4 linked regions of the Drosophila melanogaster genome follow. The protein of the gene in region 1 interacts with the protein of each later gene in a pairwise test. Each region holds a gene or a part of one and is shown in the gene's direction. Other genes may lie near its edges. The genes, in order: Neto, KLHL18, CG4367 and CG7987.

Region 1 (6,017 bases):
AAATAGCAAAATAGAACAGCAAATTGAAGCAAAGGAACGTCTCGACCCCGCGTCCCTTCCATCCAGCGCATCCTGCCCATCCTACCCATATCCTGTGGCCTCGCACAATGCGGCTTTTGGTCTCAGTTGTCCTAGGTCCTTCTCCTTTCAGCTTTCTCCATTCTCCATTCTCCGTTGCCCTTAGTCCCAGATCCTGCTGCAAAAACGCAGCCATGGCGCTGCTTTTTGTCCCTTTGCTTCGCAGGCAACACTTTTTTACGCTGGAATTTCAAGCTGGCAGACTCAAAGGATACTCTTTGGTTAAGGTTAATTGGGTATTAATGTGATTACATCGATTTTAAGTCACAGCTGACGGCTTGTTATAGTTTGCATTCGAAACATCAGTTTATTTTATATTATTTTGCAAACGTGCTAAGCTTGGGAGAGGTAATGAAAATAATGACAACTTCTCTTTTGGTTTGCCTTTCGTTTAAAACTTAATCAGGTTATCAAGTAAGCGTAACTACAACCTACAATTGGAAATTTTATATGTTTTTGCAATAATAAACATCAGATTGTTGGTTATACTTTAAGGTTTCCATCAGCTTAATAATCAATTTAATTTAAGCAGCTCGAGCAATGACATAGATTTTAAAATTGGTTAATTTGAGAGAGTATTAGATGATAGGCTTCTACTTTTATTTGAGGTGTTTAACGCGTTCTGTCATAGCAACGCTTCGAAAGCTAATATAAAGGCAATTAAGAGTGTCTGGAGAAACTTCACGTAATCTGCGGGATCTCAAGTTATTAAAAATATGTTGTAATGAAGGGAATGTAGTTTTTAAGAGACCACAGAAGTCGTTTTTTTTTTTTATTTCGCACACATTTCGTACAATGTATGCAAACGAATCGCAAAGGAAATATCAAATCGCTTGAGGCTTTAAGAAAACCACATTCACAACAGTTTCCACAGTCTGTGATCCAGGCATGTCATTTGACATTTCACCAAAAAAAAAAAAACGAAAAAAAAGAAGAGAATAACAACAAAAACACAAAGAAAGCAAAATATAACCAAAGCAAATAAAATAAAATATTTTGCGAAGAAGCCGAACAAAAAATGAAGACAGACTTTGTTGTCCTTGTCAGCGTGGCTACAACTTCCTTGGCCCAGGACGACGTCGGAAGTGCCAGCGGAAATGAGTAAAAAACCTACAACTCACTCAAAATTCCCGCTCACTCCCATCTCACTCGCACTCGAACAATGGGAAATTCCGTTTCGAGTGAAATTTTGTGCCACAAACGAACGCACTTCGGCTGCTTTCGGCCATCGCCTCGTATTCCCACTCACTCGACATTGAGCGTTTGTGGAGCATCCTCAGAGATGCCAAATATTTTGGGGGGGAAAAAAAGCTGAAAATAATTATTTTCCAATTTCTTAAGGTTCGCATGAAACCCGTATACTTGCATCATTGTTTAACGTTTTGGTGAAATGTTGTGATAAAATGAGTTTAAGTTTTAAAATAAATCGCACTATTTTTTGGCTCTTTACCATATCAAAATGTATATACTAAAATGAGCTTGAAAGTGGGCGGCGAAAATATGTTGATGTTAAGAAATGCATCTGGATATCGAGCAGACGTTTCCCATAATTTATTTTTATTAAGTTTTTATTTCTTAATCTCTATAGAAAAGCAAGATATTATAGATCACTGTCAGTTTTCATATTCACATCCGTAAATCTAATAGGAAACAATTTTTGTTTAAAAGAAATAATTAAAAGCTAAGATCCGTCATAAATAGTACTGTCAATTTGAGAGGCTAGAAAAATAAGATAATACATATCAGCTTATAATTTTTAAATTTCTTTTCGGGAAATTAATTTTTAAGCGTGGGAAATGGACAAAAATTGCTAGATTCTCGCAAGTATTTTATTTTATGGTGTGATATTCTTCTAAAATTAGATATTTTTATTAATACGTATTTTTTTTTTTAACAAGTGGAATCCAATTAGTTTGTTTTATTATGTTAATGATTGTTAGTATTAAAAAAAAAACTTCTATAGATATTGGGCAAACAACTCAATCAATTTTAGGTAGTAACATAATAAAGTAATAAATACGAATACAATTCTTTTTGGTTGATAGAAAAGAATAAGACAGTGAGCGGCTGGAAAAACTAGCCAGAGTTGTCGGGAAAGCCGGCTAAGTAAGCAGCACTGGCGGGTCGACAACAGCAGTGGCAGCATCCGCCGTGGCAGCGGCAACAGTCGAGCGGCAGACTCGATGCAGCAGAGCCACAAATTCCGGCATTACGTATACGCCCAGTCTACGTCGAGTTGGCCACGTGTACGGACACGCGGCGCGGTTCGCTTTCTCCGGTGACAGCACATTCGATATTAACGTTTCACTACCAAAAAAAAAAAAACATCGCGATTGGTTGCTAATAGACAAGCACCAGAGATACGATTTTAAAATCTTAAGGTTTTGCTTTTGTTCAAAAGAAATACAAATTTTTTTGTTTGGTTGTTTGTGTGACAGTGACAGTGCCAGTGTGAAAGTGTGTGTGTGTGAAAAGCTTGCCGGCTTGAAAAATGCGCGCCAAAAATTGAGATATTTTCGCGGAGCGCAGCGGCAACAAAAACAAATAAAAACAACATTTCGCAACGCAGCCAAAGGAGGCGACAACACGCAAATAGTAATATATACATATATATATAAATTAAACATATGCACATATACATATATATATTAGATGGCAGCTTTGCAATGTAAACAAATTATATTTCCGTGTTTTCTTAAAATAACAAATCTATTTGCCGATATTTACCAATTAATTAGTGGGCTAGTGACAATATTAAGTTGCAAAGGATAACAATTATAAAATAAATACGTATACTGCTGCATTCCGCATAATAGGCAATAAATATGTTTGCGAATATATTAATCAAATCAAGGCATTATGGCTGTGGTAGCTGAATGAAATTTGCATAAATCAAGCTTCAATGATCCAGAGGGCACATTAGTCTCTTTTAGCCTGTAGTTGTAAAAGTTGTTCGGTTTTAGCCAACAAAATGGAAATGAAAAGGCAAAAAGTGGATGTGTCATAAAAATTCCTTTTGCACAGAAGGCGTCCATTATGCGGATTCTAAAGCAATATTAAAATAATCTCTAGTAATTTCCTAGTAAGTGCCCACTTAAATGAGTTTTTCTTTTTTATTAGTGCGCTTTAAGTCTTTGATTTTATTTTAATGCGTCTTGGGATATATTTATACATATTATTAATTGTTAATTTGTTCAGCAGTTTTAGATCGAATATACTTGCGATTAAACATTTCTAAACATTTTGAAAAGTGTTCGATTTTTTGTTGTTTTTATTATTTATCTCATATAAGCTACAATATATGTTGAAAGATTTCGAATGAATGTTTAATTTAAACTATTTTGTCGCATTCGTTTGGAAACTTCGACCGTATTTTCTATGTATCCCGTATAGATAAGTTTGGGGCCACTTAGCGAATTGGCGGACATATTTTTAGACATAGCCCAAATAGTAAAAAAACAAGAGCAGAACGAGTAAGCGAAGAGGGGAAAATTGTATAAAAACCAAAGACACGAACGCAGAGGCTATAGAGAATTGGTGAAAAATGAGAGAAATTCATTAATAAAAGACAGCAACAAAAACAAGAGCAAAAATTAAACGGCTGCCATCAGGCTTTCCCACTTCTCTCACCAATTTTCCCTTTCGTTTTCCCGCTTTTCCTTGTCCACGGCACAGCTGTGATCACACGAAGAGAAAGAAAAAACAGAAGAAAATTCGGAAAAAAATGAAAATAAAAATTATTACATATGCGTAATGGGTATTTTGTGTTGTTGCTGCTGTTATTGAAGAAGATTTTCCAAGCTACAACTACAACAATTCCGTTAGCGCCAACTTTGACGAAGGTTTTCCATCGGCTTTTCTTTAAATACCCTCGCGAATACGCAGTGTATGGATTAGGGATTGATGAACTATGCTATTAGGTTAAATAAAAATATACTCCGCAAAACAATAATAATCATTTGGGCTTGCAAAACTGAATGCAATCTTTATTTATTGCATTAGTAGATTGAATAAATTAATTGTTTACGGGGTATTGTGTTGGTTGTTAATTGTCCATTAACTTAATTTCCCAGTGTTTTCTCTGTTTTGTTGCCGTCTCAATGAATTCACTAGACTTCCAATCGTCCCATCTCTTTCGCATGCTGTGCAGCCATCTCTCTCTATCGGTGGCTGACAAAGTTTTGCATTATGTTCATCTCGTCTGTCGCTCTTCTATATCCCATTCCCACATATGTGGCTCAAGGCTATCTTATACACGCACTTTCAGCGCCCTCGTCGATTTCTTAGTTTTTCTTCTCATTTTCCATTCATTTTTGCTGCTCCCATTTCGGTTTTCTTAAATTTTTTCAGCATGTTGCCCTCATAAATTTGGGCGAGGCAAACAAAATTTTTGTGGTAAACTTTTATTCACGAGGGTTTTTTTTATTTTTGAAGGGAAACTTCGATGGTAATTAATGGCATGTTGACCAGCTGGTCAAATAGGGAAAAGGATTATTCCTGCCTTTTAAGGACTAAAGTAAAGGATGAGTTCTTACTCCAAAAGAAAGCTTAAATCATATTATTTTCTTCTTCTGTGTATTCTTATTTTGTTCAAGAAGAATGTATCCAGCATTCAACAATTACAAATCAATGTTTAATAGCAATATTTATTTGTACTCCGTATTTTCTGAGTGTGATTATATTGTTGTTCAGATTTTCTCCATTGATTTTAATTCAACCATTTCGTTTTTGTGATCCTTTTAATTTTCTTAGCCATGTTGTAATTTCCCTTCTAGTTTTTCCACATTGGACTCCATTTAGTTTTATCTCTCTGCAGCTGTGCTGAGATTAAATTTTGTTCAATTTTTGTAACCATTTATTTCAATAAAATTAAGCCAAAAGTTTTTACAGTTAAGCCCAAACTTCCTTTGGCGATTTCGGTTAGCTTAACTGCTTTCCGCCTCCTTTGACCACCCATTTCCTTTGTGTCCCGAGCAACAGGTCCTCTCTCATTTGCTGGGATTTCTTCTTATTTATTATTTGTGTCTGTCCACAGTGTTTTCATTTCTTTCCCCGTATTATTTTTGGCCGCAAAAAAGTCTGATCTTAAAGCCTTTTTGCATTGTGCGGCGATTTTCGCAGCAATTTCCCGTGGAATGTGAAACTAATTGCAGCTGGACTTGGGTGGTTGGAAAACGCAATGGCATACAACTAATCAGAACGGAAAAAGAGCAGAAAAGCCTGGAAATGGGCATGCGAATGGGAATGGGAATGGGCCATTTTTTTTCGGGCTGCTGGAAAAGCCAAAAGAAAAACGATTTCAATAAATGTCATAAATTTGCCCGACAACTTTACAAAAGGGGCGGAGGAAGTGGAAAAGCAAAGGAAATGGCTTTTCCACAAACCAACCCGCCGCCTCTCCCCCTGATTATCGTCTGCTTTGCTGTCGGCTTGTAATCGCTTTCATTACAGCAGAAAAAGGGAGAAAAAGAAAACTGACCAAATATAATAAAAATAAAAAAAAAAATAAAAGAAAAGAAAAGAATGAAAATCCAGACCCAGGCAGTAGCGAAATGCAAAATGCCATGAAAATGGAAAACCAACATGGCCATTTCCACAAGGAAAGAGACGGCCAGATAAAGTACTGCTTTCACTTTTTGGCTTCTACTCGTTGGCAGTAATTTATTTGATTATTTTTTTCGCATTTTTTTTATTTTTATTTATAATGATGCATTTAAACTGCTGTCCTGCAAATAATAGATCTTTCAAGAATATCTTAACCACTTTACAGCGGTTTCGTTGGGATATTTCTTATCTTTTGTGTATATGTTATTTATTTATTTATTTTTTTTTTACATTGCGGCCACTGCAGAAATTTGGGCCACAACAAAGCCAAAGATGTAAAGTGAAAAATCTCATTTATATATAGGTAAATGTTGTGTGTATCTGCACATTGTCAT
Region 2 (6,247 bases), on another chromosome or scaffold:
TTTAGGGCACCGCTCTGTTCCATTTCATTCAGCTGCTGCGTCTGCTCCTGCAGTTTCTTTTTCAGCTTGGCAGCTATGGCTCTGAGCTTATGGTACTTCTCCTCGTAGCCTTCGTCCAGTTCACGCAGGCGGCTTAGTTCTTCGGCTCGTGATATTGTGGATGTCGACAGAACATCACTCTGGGCATCAGCATTCGCCTGCTCCAATTCCTCAACACGGCTCTGGAGTTGTTTGATCTTCTGTAACTTCTCCTGCGCCGCCTGCTGACTATTAGATAGTTGAGCCTCCAAGTCTCGTTGTCGCTTGACCTCCGCTTCGTGCTGTTCTTGAAGGCGTGAAATGGCATCACCGCGTCCTTTGAGCGCCTCGTTCAGTTCCCGCATCTCCGTTAGCAACTCTCCATGCTCTTGCTCCTTGAGGTGGTATCGCGTAAGCAAATCCTCGTTGTGTTGGCGCAGTTCTATGCAGATGGCTTCCAACTCCTGCAACTTCCTCTGCTGATTATCACGCTCCTTTGCAATGACTTTGACCAGATTTTGCATTTGATCAAGCTTGGTCTGGAATAAGCTTACATTAAGGTTCCTGGCGTGATTTTTGGTGTTTTCCTGCTCCTTCGTTACACTTATCAATTGTTCCTTGTCAATTCTATGCTGCTGCTTTATAATGACTGCAAGCTCTTCGAGAGCGGTTATCTTCTTAAGTAGGTACTCCACATTCAAATTGCTCCTTTGGTTCTTTTGCTTCTGCTTCACTATTTTGGCTAGCCGATCCATTTCCTGAACTCTTTGCAGCAAGCGCTTGCGGTCAATTCCAGTGTCAATTGTTTGAGGATTATTGTCTGACTTTCCATTGTTCAGCTTCAGTTTTTCATTCTCGGCCTGCAGGGATGCCATCTTTGCGCACAACAGTTGCGAAGCTTTGATAATCTCCACCTGCCATTTGGAAACGGATGCGGCGTACTCGTGCTGCGTTTCCAGCAGCACGCACTTGCACTCCTTGAGGTTCTTCAACTTGCGGTGTACATCAATGAAGCGGTCCTTTAGAGAATTAAACTTCTTGCGTTGCTCAGAGTTAAGTTCCTTGATGTTTTGGTACTTTTGCTGCAGCACACTCGACTCTTCTTCCATCGTGGCGACTTGCTGGCGAAGACTAGCGTTTTCCGCCTCCGCTTCCTTAATTTTGGCAATGTCCACTTCCAAAAGTTCCAGATTCTTGCGCTGCTCGTTACCCAGAGCATTGACCTGTTGCATAGCCTTTTCCATGCGATCCACATTGGCAAGGAGGGCATCGTTTTCATCACTCAGTCGCCCAAGTTGGCGCTTTAGGCTCTCGTTCTCGATCTCGAATTGCGTCAGTCGATCGGCATCCTCTTTGGTCTTTCGTTTCAGATTATTCACTTCCTCGGTGAGGATGAGGTTCTTATCGGTGAAGTCCTGGACCATTTCCTGCATGGCTGGCAGGCTGCTCTGCTTCTCCGCCGCCCGTTTAAGGGCATCCTTGAGTCGGTGATTTTCCTCGGTGAGTTCTGAAAGAGAGTGGCTTGCATTATTCTGGAAGATTCCCTGAAACTCTCCATCAAACTTACCATCTTTTGCCTGTTTCGCCTTTTTAGCGATGTTGAGCAGGCCTTTGTATTTGCTGATGATTTCATCTTTGCTCAGCGCCTCGATCGGATTCGGGTTCTTCTGCAAATGCAAATAACAAGATGAGACGTCATCATCAATTCTAGCGACACCTTTTTACTCACCTGGGTTTCCCTCGGTGATGCGGCTTCCATGTTACTTGCTATTTTCGTATCCTTGCATTTAATAGCGGTCCAAACATTTATGTCTTAACTCAGATCAGTGGTTTTCCAATTAGCAAGCGACCCAGATTACTCGAAAATGTTTTTGGACCCTTAATCAATCCGAGCGAAGAAAACACTCCAGCCACACTAACAGCTGATAGGGCTGTCATCACCGCCCAATTAGTGATGAGCGTCTTTTTTTAAGAAGGTGACGCAAAAACGGAAAAATTACTAATTAAAATTAAATGAAAGAATAATATTGTCTTAAAAATATGTGCTTTTTAAGGATTTAATTATCACTGTTGCATAAAAAGGGCTCAACTTTTTAATAAGTATTATGAAATTACATTTTGGTCCAAGAACGTTACCTTTAAAATTAAACAATATGATTCAATAAATTTGTTTCACTACTATTGGTGTTGTTCAACTATCGAAGGAACCTCAACTATCGATTAATGTGACCGCTCACCACTGACCACCACTAGCTCTGCAGTACAAGCAACATTTGGCATCTCTACTGTTTATCATTTTCTTGATCCGTTAAAGTGATGGATTTGAGTGATAATAGCCAAGTGGAGGATCAATACTTTGTTTACAAGCATGATAAGCTATTCGGCGAGAGTTTCCCCCTGTTCAAGGAAATCCGCAGGATGGGCAAGCTGTGCGATGTCACCCTAAAGGTTGTTTGCGTGCAGACTGGGGCATTCAATCACCCGCAGCTCAGAGATACGTTCATTATCTAGCGTCTAAATATAAAATGCCATCCCAATTATTGCAGGTTGAAGATCAGACCTTCTCAGCGCACCGCGTTGTGCTGGCGGCCACCATCCCGTATTTCTATGCGATGTTCACCAACAACATGGCAGAGAGTCGGATCAAGGAGATCACCATGAAGGAGAGCGCCATAGAGCCAAGTGCCCTGGAGAGTCTGATCAACTATGTTTACAGCGGCCAAGTGCGCATCGACAACCAGAATGTGCAGAACCTGATGGTGGGCGCCAGCTTCCTGCAATTGTCCAACGTGCGGGATGCCTGTGCCAGTTTCCTGATCTCCCGCTTTCATCCGCACAATGTCCTGGGAATCCGCACCTTCGCCGACTCCATGATCTGCCGGCAGCTAATCGACGCTGCCGACAAGTATATTGATCAAAACTTTGCCAAAGTCTCGCAGTCGGAGGAGTTTCTCGCCCTGGACTGCGAACAATTGCTGGAGCTGATGCGCCGGGACGAACTCAACGTACGCACCGAGGAGGTCATCTTCGAGGCCTGCATGAAGTGGGTCAAGTACGCAGAAGACAAGCGCTCTGAGCTCTTTCCTCAGGTCCTGGCTGCAGTGCGTTTGCCATTGCTCTCGCCTCAGTTCCTGGCGGACCGTGTGGCCCGCGAGGAACTCATTCGATCCTCGCACCAATGCCGTGATCTCCTAGACGAGGCCAAGGACTTTCACCTCATGCCCGAGCGCAGGGGTCTGCTGCAGAGCTTTCGCACGCGCCAGAGATCCGGTGAGTTCTTTACCGGACAAATATACGCCGTGGGAGGACTGGCCAGCACTGGGGAATCTGTGAGCACGGTCGAGATTTACGATCCGCTCACCAAAAAATGGAAAATGGGCGAACAAATGTCCATGATGAGGTGAGTGTGCGAGGAGCATTTATTTCTATTCTATCCCATACTAATTGCCAATTTTTCGACAGATCTCGCGTGGGTGTGGCCGTTCTGAATGGCAAGCTGTACGCCTTTGGTGGATTCAATGGCACCGAACGTCTGTCCACCGTTGAGGTCTACGACCCGCGCAAAAACAAGTGGTCCCAGGGCTGTGCCATGCTCTGCAAACGCAGCGCCGTGGGCGTGGCCGCATTGGATGATTGTATCTATGTGTGCGGCGGCTACGACGGCGTCACGTCGCTCAACACCGTTGAAGTTTACTATCCAAAGTCTAACACTTGGAAGACTGTAAGTAAACAAACATTCTATGTAACCCAGATGGGTAAGAAAACTGATCCAACTTTAATTTCACTACCCGAAGGTTGCTCAAATGATGAAATATCGTTCGGCTGGTGGAGTTACCCAATTGAACGGCTACGTCTACGCCCTTGGCGGTCATGATGGGTTGTCCATATTCGATTCGGTGGAGCGGTACGACCAGGCCGAAGATGTCTGGGTTAAGATGTCGCCCATGCTGAATCGTCGCTGTAGACTGGGCGTGGCCACGCTGAACGGAAAGATATACGTGTGCGGCGGCTACTGCGGCAACTCATTCCTTCGATCCGTAGAGTGCTACGACCCTCAGACGGACACCTGGAAGCTGGTGACACCAATGAATTGCAAACGCTCGCGGGTGGCTCTGGCCGCCAACATGGGCAAACTGTGGGCCATCGGCGGCTATGATGGCGAGTCAAATTTGTCTACAGTCGAGGTGTACGATCCGGAGACCGACAAATGGACCTTTATGCCGCCCATGTGCGCACACAGTGGTGGTGTCGGAGCCGGGGTCATACGGATCGAGTAACCCACTCGATTCGCCTGCCAAACCCGTTTCTCTAGCCACACTCGTCTTAGGTAATTTATGTGAATTGAATCGATATAGTTTAGCCTAGATATGATTGTTGAGGGTAACCAAGCTTTAGTGGCACCTCGTGCGGCCGCCTCGTATGCAACTCAGCTCAGCTCTTGCAGCTCTATCAAAATTGTTCATATACTACTCACAGCTCTATAGATTTTGTCATTCCAGTTATGTAATTGTTTAGTTACTACGCCTAGCCTTAAATACTCATTACAATATTAATCCTCCAAATAAAAACATGTATAACGCATGTTATGTAAAAATTTATTAATGGTTGGTTTATTTTTGTAAGACGGGTAAAATAGTCCTATGTATAACTAAAATCAATTTCACACCAATTTAAATCATATTTTATTTAATTTAATTTAAATTGAACTAGACTCTTAACATTAAAGTTATCTAAAGACGTATTCTTTGTATTCATTTTCAGTCATTACCCTCGCCATTTGTAATCTTGAAATGTTTTAGAAGGTTGTTAAAGTTCAGTAATTTCCTTACAGTAAAGGGACGACTGTCAACCTTTTGCACATCGTATAAATCAATTGTGTTTCGACGATCCATATGGGCGGCGGATACGTTTTATTTGAACAATAATAAATGGTTGACAAATAACAAAGCAATCTGAGCGACAAAAAGGCGAAAATGGCGAGGGCAGCGCAAAAAGTTGATGGTCAATAAGCAGGCCTTTATGGAAGGCAGTGCACTTGTTTATTGTCCCTAAAATACTTTCAGTTTTAATTAAAAATGATTAAATATTATTACCCAAGTCCCAATGTCTATCTACAATTTTCTACTTATTTTGTAACGAATAAATGTACCTTCCCTCGTTGCATCTCAGTTGAACATGCGGAGTATCTCTTCCCTTGATATTTGTACACCTCCCACGCGCGGAATGCAATTTTAAATTCGATTTGCACCACCTGCTCAAAGTGCAGCGGCAGCAAAACTAATTCGGAGCAACAGGTGGCAATGGCGCATCCAAAAATAGAGGCTAACGAAACCAAACCAAAACAAAATCAATTTGCCGTCTATCACTGACCCATAAAATGCCATACGCACAGCAAAGGGTCATAATCCAATCAATTGCACACTTAACGTACATATTTCGCAGTTATCAGATGGTTCCAGCGATGGAGGACCTTATCGCCGATCCGGATACGATCCGGTCCTGTTCCCGATTGCCAATGGCTACATGTATATTTATGTGGCTCTGCAGCGGCACGGCTATTTGCACAAGCGAAAAGGCTTTGTGGCGGCGGTCTTATTTGATTTTGATAATCAAATCACAAATTGCTTGTCTATCGATGGGCAATTTTATTTTAATTAAATGCTAATTATGTTTACCAAATGGTTGGAGTAAATATTTGTTGCATCACCGGGGACAATTGTTTATCACCACCAAACTGGAGCTCGTTTAGTTGGAAATCCGTCTAATTGTTTGGAGGGTGAGGAATTGGCTTTTTTTTTGCCCCGAAATCTGTTGCAATTTAAATGCAAATTTTTCAGCGGGCTCTCTATACACTGTAACATTTACGACTCAATTGCCCGAAAAGGCGGAAGGCAGTCCTGCAAGAAAGGATGCGAAGATAAGATGCCTGCAGGAAGCGGCGATGCTTCCACGTTTAATTTTAGACCGAAAAACTGGCGTTGTAGTGGCTGCAAGTTGCAACGAGCTGGCCCCCGGATGTGTGTGGCATCCACTTGGCCTTTCCGAGTGGCGTGTGGAGGGATTCGCCTGCTGCGGGTGATGCGGGTGATGCGGGTGATCCGGGTGTTGTCTTATCTCAAATGCCGCGACCTCGCCTCAAGTGCATTGTTGATGGTCGCGACCCGTTGAAATCTGGCTGCAACGACTTTTCCGGCTCGTTTTGTGACGCATTTGAGACGAACCCGCTTGG
Region 3 (4,205 bases), on another chromosome or scaffold:
TCTTTCTTATGGTATGCCATTATTTAATCTGATTTCAACGGTACGAAAAGATGTCGTATTCTTTATAAACGAGGACCTTCAAAACGTTTACCATCAAATATGTTTTCGTAAACCCGCAGACGCAGTCCAACAATGGAGGTCGCTGTGGTCTGTGCGGCGACAACTTCCTGGATGCCCAGCCCCGTGCCAACGAGATCGGAGGAAGCATCGGTGGAGCTGGTGTGGTGACCAGGAGCTACGTGGCTGGCAATACCATCACCGTGGGCGTGAAGATCACCACCAATCACTTGGGTTACTTCGAGTTCCACCTGTGCAACCTGGACGCCTTCGGTGCCGAGTCGGAGGAGTGCTTCGATCAGAACCGCCTGCGATTCATCGATGGAAGCGATAGAAAGGATATCGGCGATCAGATGGGCGAATTCGATGTGACAGTCGTCCTGCCGGAGGGTCTTACCTGCTCTCACTGCGTCCTCCGCTGGACCTATGTGGGTGGTAAGTGGTGGCCAGAACGTAAATGGAACTTAAAGTGAAAATTAATTGAACATCTTGTGCATTTCAGCCAACAACTGGGGCATCTGCGATAATTCCGGAAACGGAGCCTTGGGCTGTGGCCCACAGGAAACATTCAAGAACTGCGCCGATGTGAGCATCTACTGGGGTCGCAACCTGGTCAAGGAATTGGTCGGTGGCGGAGATCCAGTGGCTCCGGTTGAGGTCGCCTGAAAATCCAGACTAAAATTCAACGAACTGCCATTTATGTCTGAAAATGCAAAATGCCAAATAGTCAGCTAAAGTTATTTAAATAAATGAGTGAACATTTACACATTAGTTAATTGGGTCCTTGGAGCTGCTTCCTATTTATAGAAATTTAGTTTTATTTACTGTTTAATTTTGAGATCTTATCCAATTTAGATACATTATTTAAACAGATGTTAGAGATAGACACATCATAACCAATATTTTTTAAGTCCAAAACTATGCAACAAATTGTATAAATCAGAATTTGTTAATGTTCTACGGCCTTCAGGTATACAGTATTTCTGCTAGGTTTTGACCTAAAAAGCAAGCAAAAAAAAATAATAGAAATTTGTTTATATATAATAACAATAATAGTGTGTAAATTGAAGGCGAAGTGGCTTTAAAGAACAGAATTACGTTACTTATAGTTCGATTCTTTTCATTGCAAATTTCAATATTTTGTTCGCTTTCACCTTGATTATTAATGCTTAATTGATGATTCTGAGAACACGTTGTATCGATAAAACAAAAGCATATAACCGCAAAAGTTGACCAAATAGATTGTGTTTATAGGGCAATTTAAATTTATGAAATCTGAAGATAGATATGCATCTTTTTTTGCAGTATGTGCTAAAATATATGTCTTATTTTGAGCCAAAGGGCCATGAAAAAGGAAAATAGTGGCTTCAAAGTACTCGCATGTTTTATCTGGAGGCATCATGGAATAATCGAAACTAAATAATTGCTGATTTATTAATATACGAGCAGCTTAATCCCTGAACTTAAACGTGGCCAATTTTTTTTAGCTGCGCGCAAGTGCTCTAAATTTGTTGTTTAAAAAAACATTTGCGTTTTTGGCTATTGTATGGACCGTACTACAATATATGATTGGCAGAAAAGTGCTGAAGTCAAAACCAACTAAAATAGTAAGTAATTGCACTTAAGAATCGTTGACCTTGGCTAACAAATTTTGCGAAATCGTGAGAATTTTTCCAAGCCTTTGAACTCCTATCAAAATGGCATTGGTGGGCTAAATAATAATAGCATAATAAAGCAGTCTTCCAAGTTATTATGATTAGGTTACCAAAAAATACGGGTATTGCTTAGATGTGTCATATGTGTTTTCACACTTTCCAGGTCAGATACAAGAAATTCTCCCAAATTCTAACTACCAATAACCATAAACGAAATTAAGATTGTGAGCCGATAAGATGCATTCACGGTTATTGGACGAAAAATCAAAAACAAACATAAACTGCCCGGCAACTGATAAGGTTTGGCAATATGGAACTATATAAGGCCACGACCAGTTCGTTTTGGCCACAAAGAAAGTGAAATCAATATGAATACGTATAAATTTATCCTGTTTCTTAGCATGGGTTTTTTAAACCGGATGGGTGAACTGGAGGGCCACGGTATGATGTTAAGTCCAACCGGAAGATCCTCGCGTTGGCGCTACGATAACTCGGCGCCAACAAACTACGATGACAATGCATTATATTGCGGTGGATTTTGGGTAGGAGTGCCTTAAAAAAATTCTATATTCATTTGATTCAATGATGTTCTTAACCCTTTAGAAACAAACCGAAAATGATGGCAAATGTGGACTGTGCGGAGACGACTGGAGCTTGGAGCAGCCGCGACCCAATGAGTTGGGTGGAAAATATGGCAGTGGAGTGATTGTAAAGAGCTTTGCCGGAGTAGATGAAGCGGAAATTAATGTTAAGATCACAGCCAATCATCTGGGCTACTTCCGCTTCCACATCTGCGATTTGGACGAAAATGGCAGCGAGTCGGAGGATTGCTTTAACCAATATCCTTTGAATTTCACCGACGGTAGCCAGAAGTACTACATTAACACCACCACTGGCGATATCCCAGTAACCGTGAAACTGCCCAGTGATCTCAACTGCATTCATTGCGTTTTGCGCTGGACTTACACGGCGGGAAATAATTGGGGTGTTTGTGAGGATGGGACGGGCGCCATGGGTTGTGGGGCGCAGGAAACCTTTATTAACTGCGCTGATATCAGTGTACTATCCTCAGCGAGAAGTATTATCCAGGAGGTGCCCGTGGAGGTGGCGGAATCGAAGTGAGGTGGTTATCATCAGCGGTGGCCAATCGAACAATACTGCTAGTCTCAATAAATTATGTAACTTATTTATTTCTAATTGTTCCAAATTGTTCATCAACAATACGATTTTGTTTTAAGAAAAGGTTATTTTATTACTTCAATTCTTCATTTATGTATTGATTTAACAATACTTGATAAAAAATGCACCTCAAAAAGTTCCATTTAACAATAAGACAATAATAGTTAAGTATTTACGAACCACCATAAATAAATGCCATTTTGAAAATTATGAATGTTTATTTCTGTTTTATTCAATAAATTAATCGTCGTATATATTATTTATACATATATATGAGTGTGTGTTTTGAGTGTGTGTGTGGATTGTTGGTGATGACCGTTCGTCTTTGAGGTGCAGGGCATCGCACTCCCTCCTCCTAAGATGGATCCTACTTATTAAATTCTTGATTCTGAAAGCCCTGTCTTAGACGTGTTCTTAACGATCGGATGAGATTTGCACGGTTGAGTGCTTAAATATTTGTTGTTTTTAAGCTATCCTGTTTATGTTCGTATTTGTATCTTGTATGTTATTTTAATATTCGTAATTTGTCTTAAGTTATTCGTGGCTTACAAAATATGTTTCACATTAACTGGCTTATTAGTTAACTTCACAAATAAGTTGTATGTATATATATATGCATTCTTTTCTTTTATATTTTACAAAGCCTTCAAAAGTCAATTGCAAACGATAAGTCGGTAAATTCACTACAAAACTCAAAAGTCGCGTTTTAAGAATATCTATTGGTTTACGTTTTCCTTTTAACAATTAACTAAACAAACCGCAAACAACAGTGTGTAATCTCGATTGCCACTAATGATGCCATCAATCTGATGTATTTAGATATATATTGAGCTCTATGTTTTGAGGAGAGTACAGATACGGCTTGAAATGCCCTCCTCGATTAAAAACTATAAAAAACACACTCTCCATTATCGTCAAAATGTGCGAATCGCTCACAACTGAATTACAAGTGTTTCAGCCCTTTTTGGGCTTTGTTTCTAAATCACCATCGTTTAAAAGCATTTTAAAATACAGTGGTTGCACTTCGAGAAAAATAGATGTATATTTATATATATTAATGTGGGGGAGGAGGTCCTTCGCTTCTCTACCAAATATTTTGTTATAAAAGCACCTTATAAATTTTACACGTACTCGCAAAGTTTACCCACTTGCCTCGTTTGTATAAATAGCTAAATAGTTCATCTTTCATTTTTACTTTGTTCAAAAATTGTTTTTAACATTATACAACACTATCTGTATTTTTGTTTTCTTTGTAATACCTGAATTTTAGAATTTTGTATCCGAAACGCCTTTTTTGTTGTTTTTTTTTTATTT
Region 4 (8,577 bases), on another chromosome or scaffold:
TCATTACTAAACCAAGAATAATTGCCACCATATAGATATGAAAACTGGTATATTAAGTCAAGATATCTTAATGGTATTCCCGTATTTTCTTTAGTGCATTTCACACAAGCGCTGAAATTCAAATTCGAATTAAACGCATTCCGGAGAAGAGCAGGCATGCAAAACGCGTAGCCCGCAGATCAGCAGCGAGATTAAAAAAGGGGGCGAGGGAGTGTGGGGGATCCCGCAGATTGCATAAATGACGACCATTTGCAACAGCATTTAGCATGTAGCATTATGAAAAGCCCTCTTTGCATTTAAGACACGCATCTTGCATATTTCGCCTTGATGTTGATCGACAGTTTGACATTTTATGTCGTCGCCGCCTGTCGAAAGGACGGCGGTTACTTTTCACTTGTTTTCAGTTTCAGTTGATTTTTGCAATGCAATGCAATGGGATTTCATTACAAAAAAAAAAAAAAACTAAGAAAAACAAATCCCATTAAAACTCACCCAATCCGACCGCTAGGTGGCGCGCTAATCTTGTTGATCCAATCTCGATTGTTTTCCCTTTTCCAGAGCAACAGAAACACAAATAGCAATGGAAACACAAACACACAATGGTAAACAAATACGGAATTCCAGTCACGAGCACTTTTCTCGACTTTTTTTTGGTTCAGTTTTTCCGCTGCACTCGGCACAGTATAAAATACACACGTATATTGGCTTGTATATTCGGGGAGACTATGGCCAACCGATCCGATCCGATCCACGCCAAAGCCAAAACGAAAATTAAATAGCCGCTGCTCGTTGGCTGCCTGCGTTTCTGTTTCTGCTCTGCCCAGCGGAGCAATAAAAATAAAAGCAGAGCAATCGGGAAACAACAACAACAACAACAACACTGGGCTGGGGGAGGGGTGGAAAAGTTTGGCGCGCTTTGGCGCTCGTTTGCATATGTGTGGGTAAATAGTGTGCTCTTTAAATTGCGGGGGTAAGAGAGAAAGTCGAAAAAGAGAGAGTGCTTTCTCTTTTGGAGAGGGAATGGAAATATCGAAATTTATATATGAACAAATCTCTAACGGGATCTTGCAGGTGCAGGATCTGGGGCGACATCTGGCGGGATCTAGCCGATTAGCTGAGTTATGGGTATCTAAGGGTAGCTTTCCCTCTTGTTTAAGTAAATTAACTTTACTATCATGTCCAGTTAACCCAGGCTAAATACTTTTTTCCTATAGGGTTAAAAATAAAATGCCCACCTCTACGCATTTACGCGAATTTAAATATTAGTTCACTCCGCAAAACACCTGAGCAAATCTTTGCATTGGCTTGACTCCAACCACAAATTTTTGAATTTATACGAATATGATTTAGTCACATATCTGTTGTAGTCCAAAATGGTCTCGATTAAGTTTATTTTGCTGTTTTTGGTCTTATTCTATTTCCAAGACGGTATTTCGGCCGTGACCTGTGATCTTGCCCCCACAGATGCCAGCTGCATAGACTGTCGGGTTTACCCCACTCACATTGAGTGCTTGCAGAGATTTTGGGCGCCAACTACAACTGCAGCGCCACTGATCGTAGCCACCACCAAGAGGTCCCGAATCGGCAGGATTCGCAACTTCTTCAGCAGTTTTCTCACACGAGTCAGAAGTAAAAGTTGGTTCTGAGATATAAGAAATTACATTTTAAAGAAAGTAAAAGAAATAAATAAATTTGCTTCCGCATCAGGAACTTGTTTGTGTTAAAGGGCGGCTTATAATACAAAACAGTATTAAAAATATTTCAAGTGGTTTCCAAAAGCGTCTGAACAAAACTCGTTTTCAAACTGTAAAGGAAGTGATTTTCTAATGAACTTAAAGGATTCATCAATATATTACTTATTCTTGATTTCTTGTTCAGCCTTTTGTTTTTCAACACGTGTTTATCAACAAATTAGTATTAAGAAAATCTATAGCAAATTTGAAATCCAATGAATAGACGCTATATTTTACAACCGCTACTTTACAGCACTTTTTGCCGTTAACATTGAACTATTTTATTGGATGTGGCATCGCCGTCGGCAGGTGGCAGCCCCCACCGAGCCGAGAATAGCAGTGGGAAGAAGAACAAGAACGGGCAACGCAATGGCAATTCCTCTTTCTCCGGTCGTTCGTGAACATTTTGCGAGAAAACTTTTCGCCGCATTTAAAAACGTTAAAGACGAAGCATGCGAACGGCATAAACACTGGATTTAAGGTAAAACAACGCAGCAACAGTACTTAGTGGACGGTAGACCTATTTAACCTCAAAATGACACCGACAAACTCGGCTGAAAATTAAAAATAAAATATTCCAAAGTATCGGCTGTGCAAGAATTTTGGGCGTGTGATGTGTGATGTAATAGCGTGGCCGCAATGGCTGTTACCGTCTGTGGCTTTTTTTCATATAAATTAATTGGCCAGCTCTTTGTTTACGTTTACGCCAAGCTTGCGGTCTGGAATATAAATAAAAACGCCGACTTAACCTCATTTATGGTCCAAATTGGTGTTTATAAGTTGGAATATTTTGCATGTAAAAAAGCTTAGACACGAACATTGCTGTCAGGATAGGCGAGTGCCGTGAGTGGAAGCGAGATGACTAGTGTGTGCGGCGGTTGGAAATCAGTGGTGTGCAAATTTTCAAGAACGAAAATGCTAGATTCAAAATATTTTATTTTATGTGCTAACACTTAACATGTCATTAAAATTGTTAGCAGTCTCAGATACATCCGTTTAATTTGAATAATTTTCTTTTTTTAAAGATACAAAAGAATAGTTATTTCCAACAATTCAATATACAAAATTTAATCTAAGTCAAAACTATGTACTATGTGTAATATTAATACAAGCATTCTTCTGACCAGTAGTTCAGTTAATTTGTATTTTGCAATTCATTATATTTTATTATCTAGCTATTTTTTTTTTAAAGTAACTATTGAATGTCATCGACCAAAGATCTGGCAACGCCGTAGTCGCTCTCCCTCTCCCACCGTCTTCGGCCTTTTTGAGCACATGTGCCACCGATTGTTGCTCGCAACGGATATTTTTGTGCCTCCCGTTTGTTTATGTGTGCAACGAAGTGAGAGAACTGCATATTTTGCAGGGCTAGCGAGTGATGAACAACCAGCGATATGGCGGCATCCAGTGGATACAGCACCACGTTTCCGCGGGCGACTCCTCCGAGGTGGACATCCTGGAGTCGGATGGTGGAGCAGGGGCCTCGGGTGAGGATCTGGACCATGTGGCGGCCGAGAATCTTATATTCATGGCCCGCGACGGTCAGCTAAGTGAGATAATGGCTGCCAACGAAGCTGGTAGAACGGTCCTGGTCACCGCCGACGGCACCACGGTGGCCTATGCGGAATCCTTCGACGATGACGCCCAGGTGGTCACCGAGGAGGTAATCACAGACGACTGGGTGCAGCACCAAGGCGCCGAGCGGTAAGTTTTGCCCTACTATGCATCTTTTGAAGTTTTTCCTATTGATTTTCTTTCCCGATTTTCAGAGTGGAGATTGCTGCCGAGCAGATAGCTGGGATTAGCAGCTCACAGGAACTGCTGGACATGGAGCAGGATGAGTACACTGCGCTGAGGCCCTATCCCTGCGACTTTTGCAGTCGGCGCTTTCGCAAGAAGGCCACCTTGAATAACCATATGCTGGCCCACCAAAATGATCGACCGCACCTCTGCAAGCTGTGTGGAGCGCGATTCTCACGACGAGCAGAGCTCATTAGTCACTTCAAGGCCCACGCAGAGGCCCAGGATGCCGCCGATGCCGAGGCAGCAGCGGCGGCAGCCGATTCGTCTTCTGCCATTAAATTCGAGCATCAGACGCAGCGGCAACTGGACGATCACTACTACGAGCAGGAATGGCCACTCTTCCAACATCAACAGGAGCAGGAAAACGCGCAACAGAATGTCCATCAACAGCATCAGATTGTGGAAGAGGGCGGGATTCAGCTGGTGGCCAGTTACCCAGACACGGTAGCTCAACCAGCAGCTCCGTCGCGAGGCAGAATCAGTCGGTTGAAGCCCAAGGAAGAAAGCAGCCAGTTCATTGTGATTTCCGACAAGTCGGTGGAGGACTCTAGGCCATACATGGAGCCTGAGCCGGCTCAGCCTGTGGTTACCACGTCGGAGTTTATTGCTGTCGAACCGCCTCCTCAGCCAAACTTTCCGGTGCTGGATCACAGCAAACCTTTTGTGTGTCAGCAATGCGGATTGGCCTTTGCGCGGGAAAAGGCACTAGTTTCACACACCAAGGTAATACTCAACTCGAAATTTTTCCCTAAAACCAGCTTAACCAGTTCATTGACAAAATCATCCACTAATTATTCCTTTTTTTCTTCGTTAGAATCACCGCGTGGACTCACCGTTCGAATGCAACCAGTGTCAGGAGATGTTCTGGGACAACAGCAGCTTGCAGGAGCACCAGAAGACTCATCAGTTCGAGGAGAGCAACTCGGAGTACGATCCTGCCTCAGCGGAGGAGAGCGGCAGTGAATCGGAGGCAGACGAGCAGTTGTATGGCGAATTCTATTGCAACGAATGTGGGATCTCTTTTCATCGCCAGGATCTACTGCGACGTCATGCCAAGATGCACTGTAAGCCATCGGATCAGGCAGCTGTTGGTAGCAATTCCGATGTCACTGCTGGCGGAGACGTGGAGCTTGCCAAAGATTCTTCTGGTCACTGTTGCAACACTTGCGGAAAGTCCTTTCCTAGCGCTTTAGAGATGCTCGCCCATGCAGAAATCCATGCTAGGTTCCCGCCCTTCAAGTAAGTTCGGTCAAATGAACTTGATCACGAGCAGAAAACCGCATTTTAAAGGCTCATTTTGAATAACTTCAGGTGCGTCCTATGCGGCATTAGCTTTTACGAGGAGCAGGCGATTAAGCGTCACCTGCACACTCGCCATCCCAGTGAATTGAATGCCAATTCCTGCGTTCTGTGCGGCAAAGAGTGCCGCGATCGCAAGGCTCTGATAAAGCACGCCTGGGACCATTCGCGCGAGAAGTGCCATTCGTGCTCCAAGTGCGGAAAGAACTTCCACAACAAAGCGCGTCTAAAGCGGCACATGGCTTCGCATCGGGACAAGTCGGTTGTATGCGAGGTGTGCCAGGAAGAATTCCCCGACGGTCGTACGCTCTCCAACCATCGACACTCGCACAGCACTACTACGCCTGGCAAGCTTTTTCCGTGCCTCGAATGCGGCAAGACATTTGGTTCGCGCAGTTCCCAGCAGATTCACGTACGGATCCACACCGGTGAGCGGCCATATGGCTGCCGCTACTGCTGGAAGGCTTTCGCGGATGGTGGTACTCTGCGGAAGCACGAGAGAATCCACACCGGCGAGAAGCCATATGCCTGCTCCGTCTGCCCACGCGCCTTTAACCAACGGGTAGTGCTGCGGGAACACATTCGCTCCCATCATTCTGGGCTGGATGTAGCGCGGAACACCTATCACTGCACAGTCTGTTCCGAAGACCTGGCATCGTCCAATGACCTTATTCAGCACCTGATCCAACACAGTGATTCAAACACAGCTAAGCAGCGACAGCCCGTTGTAAGTAAAATCCTTTGTTTCGAGAGACTTGATAAATTAAAAGAATTGAATTGTTTTTTAGACGGGACCGCGCAAGTACAAGCGTCGCCGTAAGCTACAGCCTCACGAGATCGCTCACATGCGGGCGGCGAACAAGCATGTCAACGGTGATGAGGAAGAGGCCATAGGAGAAGGCGATGCAGAGGAGTGTGCCAGTGACATCGATTTCTGCGACTTTGATGTGGAGAACGTGGACGATATCTTCGACATGGCCGAATCACCCAAAAAAGAAAAGCGAAAGAGGGGCTCGGCAGCCACAAAAGCTGATGCCAAACCCGTGACCAATGGGAAAGCGGCAAAACCTGCCCAAGATAAGGGCAAAGCTAAGCCAAGATATGATTCCACCAGCAGTCAGCAATCGGATCGCCTTTGGGAGGAAAAGTTCCTGCACGACAGTCAAGTGGCTCTGTTTCAGATCGATTCGCTGGTAGTGGTCAACGACACTCATTTGCAGCCTGCTAGCTCCGCTGTGTCTGCTAACATACCCAACACAAGAGGTGGATCGAAGCAGCAGGGAAAAGTTCAGGCGAAGTCTGTAGAAGGAGCCGAAAATTTGAATAGCTCAGCTACCACATCTGACACTACATTCTCCGCCTCCACCTCCACTGCCAGCACTCGGAGCCGCAAGAGGGCAGCAACCACTAAAACAGCCAGCAAAGCACCTCCTGCCAGTAATTCGCGACCTCGAATGATTCACACAGAGAAAGCCAAGGTGACAAAAGGAGTTGGCGGAGACTCCACTAGTAGTTCGGCAAAGAAAACGCGCTCGAAGACCTATATAAGTCGCACGGAGTCGCACAATCTGAGCCTCGACAAATCCCGCAGCAGTGCCTCAAATATGGTGGATGACTATGAAATCATTTCTCCAGCTACTCATCCGCCAAATCAGATCAGCTCCAGTCCCTTGCACATCAAACAGGAGCAGGAACAACAACAGCGTGTTCAACTTATGTACGATGATAACCTACTGATAGATGCTGCTCTGCTCAGGGAGAAGACTTATGAGAAGTTTAATCCGAGCATTGTTAATGATCTGGAGGAGATCCTCCGCTCTCCACTGAAGCACGAGAGAAATTCTCGTCTTCGCTTTACCAGCGAGTCATCCACCACGCCACAATATTTGCACGAAGAGGAGCAAAACCTTATAAAAATTGAACCAACTTCTCCGGATCTGCGGGAAATGTTGGAGGGTCAGCAAAGAGTCATCGCTCATAGCGGCAGCACTCCTTCGTCCTCTTCATCTGCTAGAACTTCCAGACATCTGCGACAAATCACTGCCAATGGTGCACGGGCAGGCAGCAAGAGAACAACAGGTGGCGTAGCCAGCAAGACGTCGGCATCCCCGGGAGTGGTGGCCAAAAAATCGAACACTGCCACCAAGGTGAGCAGCAGCAGCTCATCCTCGTACCTCTCGTACGGGGTGGATTCCTACAATGTAAACGTACCTGCCAGTGCCAACAACGGCGATGTGGGCAGCGGATTCTTTTCCATCTCGGAGGTCGTTTCCGCAGCTGACGCCGCGGATGCGGCTGCTAAAGCGGCGGCAGCTGGTAAATCGGAGCGGAAAACTCGCAGTTTCGAGTGCGAAATGTGCTCGGCCATCTTTTATGATCGCACCCAGCTGCTGGAACATGTGCACATTCACATTTAAATGGAAGCTACCTAAACCACTCGCCCGGAGCCTTGTATTTTTGAAACATCTTATCCTTATATACAAACAAAATCGGAGTAAATTACCTCAAGGTATCGTGCATCGAAAAATATCGTTGATTTATGCGTTATTTAAAATATGGAACCTAAACCTATTATAGAGAGAATAGTTCGTAAGGCTTTTAAGTTTGTACCTCAGCTTTTGTTTTGAAGAATTGGTATGCTGGAATAAATACATCATTAAATGGTTTTTCATTACCTTAAATTTTGCTATCACGTATAGATTGAATCTGATTGATAAGATGGGCTCATGTAACCTTTTCTGATGTTTGAAATCTCTCCTAGAAATCTTAAATTTTCTTGGAAACTGCGATAGTGGCATGTAATATACTTTTTATAATTGGTTAAATGTTTATAAACTTGCACATGTGGGTCTTAATACATATCGACTGACCTTTGTAGTACATACTCATAGAAACACTGATAAGAGCATACCGGAAGTCTGTGTGTAATTTGAAGCCATGATTATATGTTTTCATATGTGGTGTACGGTGACTTGTTTTCGGCTCATTTGCACAGATTTTCAATTAAAGCCGCAACTGCTAACTGAAGTAGAGATCAAAACGATTCTCACAGAAAAGCGGCTTTCGCCCATCTGATAAATCAATTAATTACCGCCAATGAGCCGTATTAGAATATAAGTAAACGATTTCATTTGCATATGCATATTTATTAATCATGGAAATAGATTCTTATTTAAAGGGGGCGCACCTTTGAATATTGACTATAAATATTTGAATATTGACTATAAATATTTGGATAGTAGCTGCGAAAATATCAGGACACGTAGATACCGTAGTTTATGTTCTAAAAAAAAATATTTCGAATCTTAAAACTATTTTTTCACTTATTTTGCCTTTCTAAGCAATTTTCTTAAATATTGTAAACCCCGAGTGAGGTTCTGGTTATTGATAGTTCTGATGATGGGCCAGTCAAGTCTTGGATCGATGGCATAGAGAGCCTATTGTATTTTTCCATTGTTGATCTCCCACTGAGATGGCAGGTATAAAATGGGCCACATCGCCGGGTGTTCATCAGTTCTCTCAGAGTCGTCGAGCGAGCAACATGAACGTAGTAAAATCTTTGTGTATTTTGGGTCTGGTTCTCGTCAGCTTGATTGCCACCCAAGCAGCCGATGAGCAGGTGGTAGGCGGTGTCAGCCAGTTGGAGGGAAACAGCAGGAAGGAGGCTCTGGAACTTCTGGATGCCACTCTCGCACAGTTGGCCACCGGAGATGGTCCCAGCTACAAGTGAGTTAGAACTGAG

Evidence for each region.
Region 2: the proteins of Neto (region 1) and KLHL18 interact in a two-hybrid assay, tested with the Drosophila melanogaster proteins (one large-scale study listed by BioGRID).
Region 3: the proteins of Neto (region 1) and CG4367 interact in a two-hybrid assay, tested with the Drosophila melanogaster proteins (one large-scale study listed by BioGRID).
Region 4: the proteins of Neto (region 1) and CG7987 interact in a two-hybrid assay, tested with the Drosophila melanogaster proteins (one large-scale study listed by BioGRID).

What each region holds. Positions count from the first base shown.
Region 1 is NC_004354.4:13,443,605-13,449,621, forward strand, and holds the start of Neto (neuropilin and tolloid-like), read left to right. Parts: upstream 1-2,298; 5' UTR 2,299-2,673; intron 2,674-6,017.
Region 2 is NT_033777.3:12,006,461-12,012,707, reverse strand, and holds KLHL18 (kelch like family member 18), read left to right. Parts: upstream 1-2,273; 5' UTR 2,274-2,334; coding exon 2,335-2,466; exon of another isoform or gene 2,467-2,543; coding exon of another isoform or gene 2,544-2,564; coding exon 2,565-3,418; intron 3,419-3,480; coding exon 3,481-3,739; intron 3,740-3,812; coding exon 3,813-4,295; 3' UTR 4,296-4,345; exon of another isoform or gene 4,346-4,607; intron 4,608-4,779; 3' UTR 4,780-5,232; downstream 5,233-6,247. Other genes in the region: GCC185 (GRIP and coiled-coil domain containing 185 kDa), read right to left, coding at 1-1,525, 1,586-1,685, 1,748-1,777.
Region 3 is NT_033777.3:20,302,831-20,307,035, reverse strand, and holds CG4367 (uncharacterized protein), read left to right. Parts: upstream 1-2,058; 5' UTR 2,059-2,080; coding exon 2,081-2,254; intron 2,255-2,315; coding exon 2,316-2,834; 3' UTR 2,835-3,081; downstream 3,082-4,205. Other genes in the region: CG4362 (uncharacterized protein), read left to right, coding at 120-492, 560-723.
Region 4 is NT_033777.3:14,569,408-14,577,984, reverse strand, and holds CG7987 (uncharacterized protein), read left to right. Parts: upstream 1-2,097; 5' UTR 2,098-2,214; intron 2,215-2,925; 5' UTR 2,926-3,111; coding exon 3,112-3,437; intron 3,438-3,502; coding exon 3,503-4,259; intron 4,260-4,350; coding exon 4,351-4,775; intron 4,776-4,847; coding exon 4,848-5,562; intron 5,563-5,623; coding exon 5,624-7,252; 3' UTR 7,253-7,513; downstream 7,514-8,577. Other genes in the region: CG44094 (uncharacterized protein), read left to right, coding at 1,374-1,646; Cys (Cystatin-like), read left to right, coding at 8,377-8,561.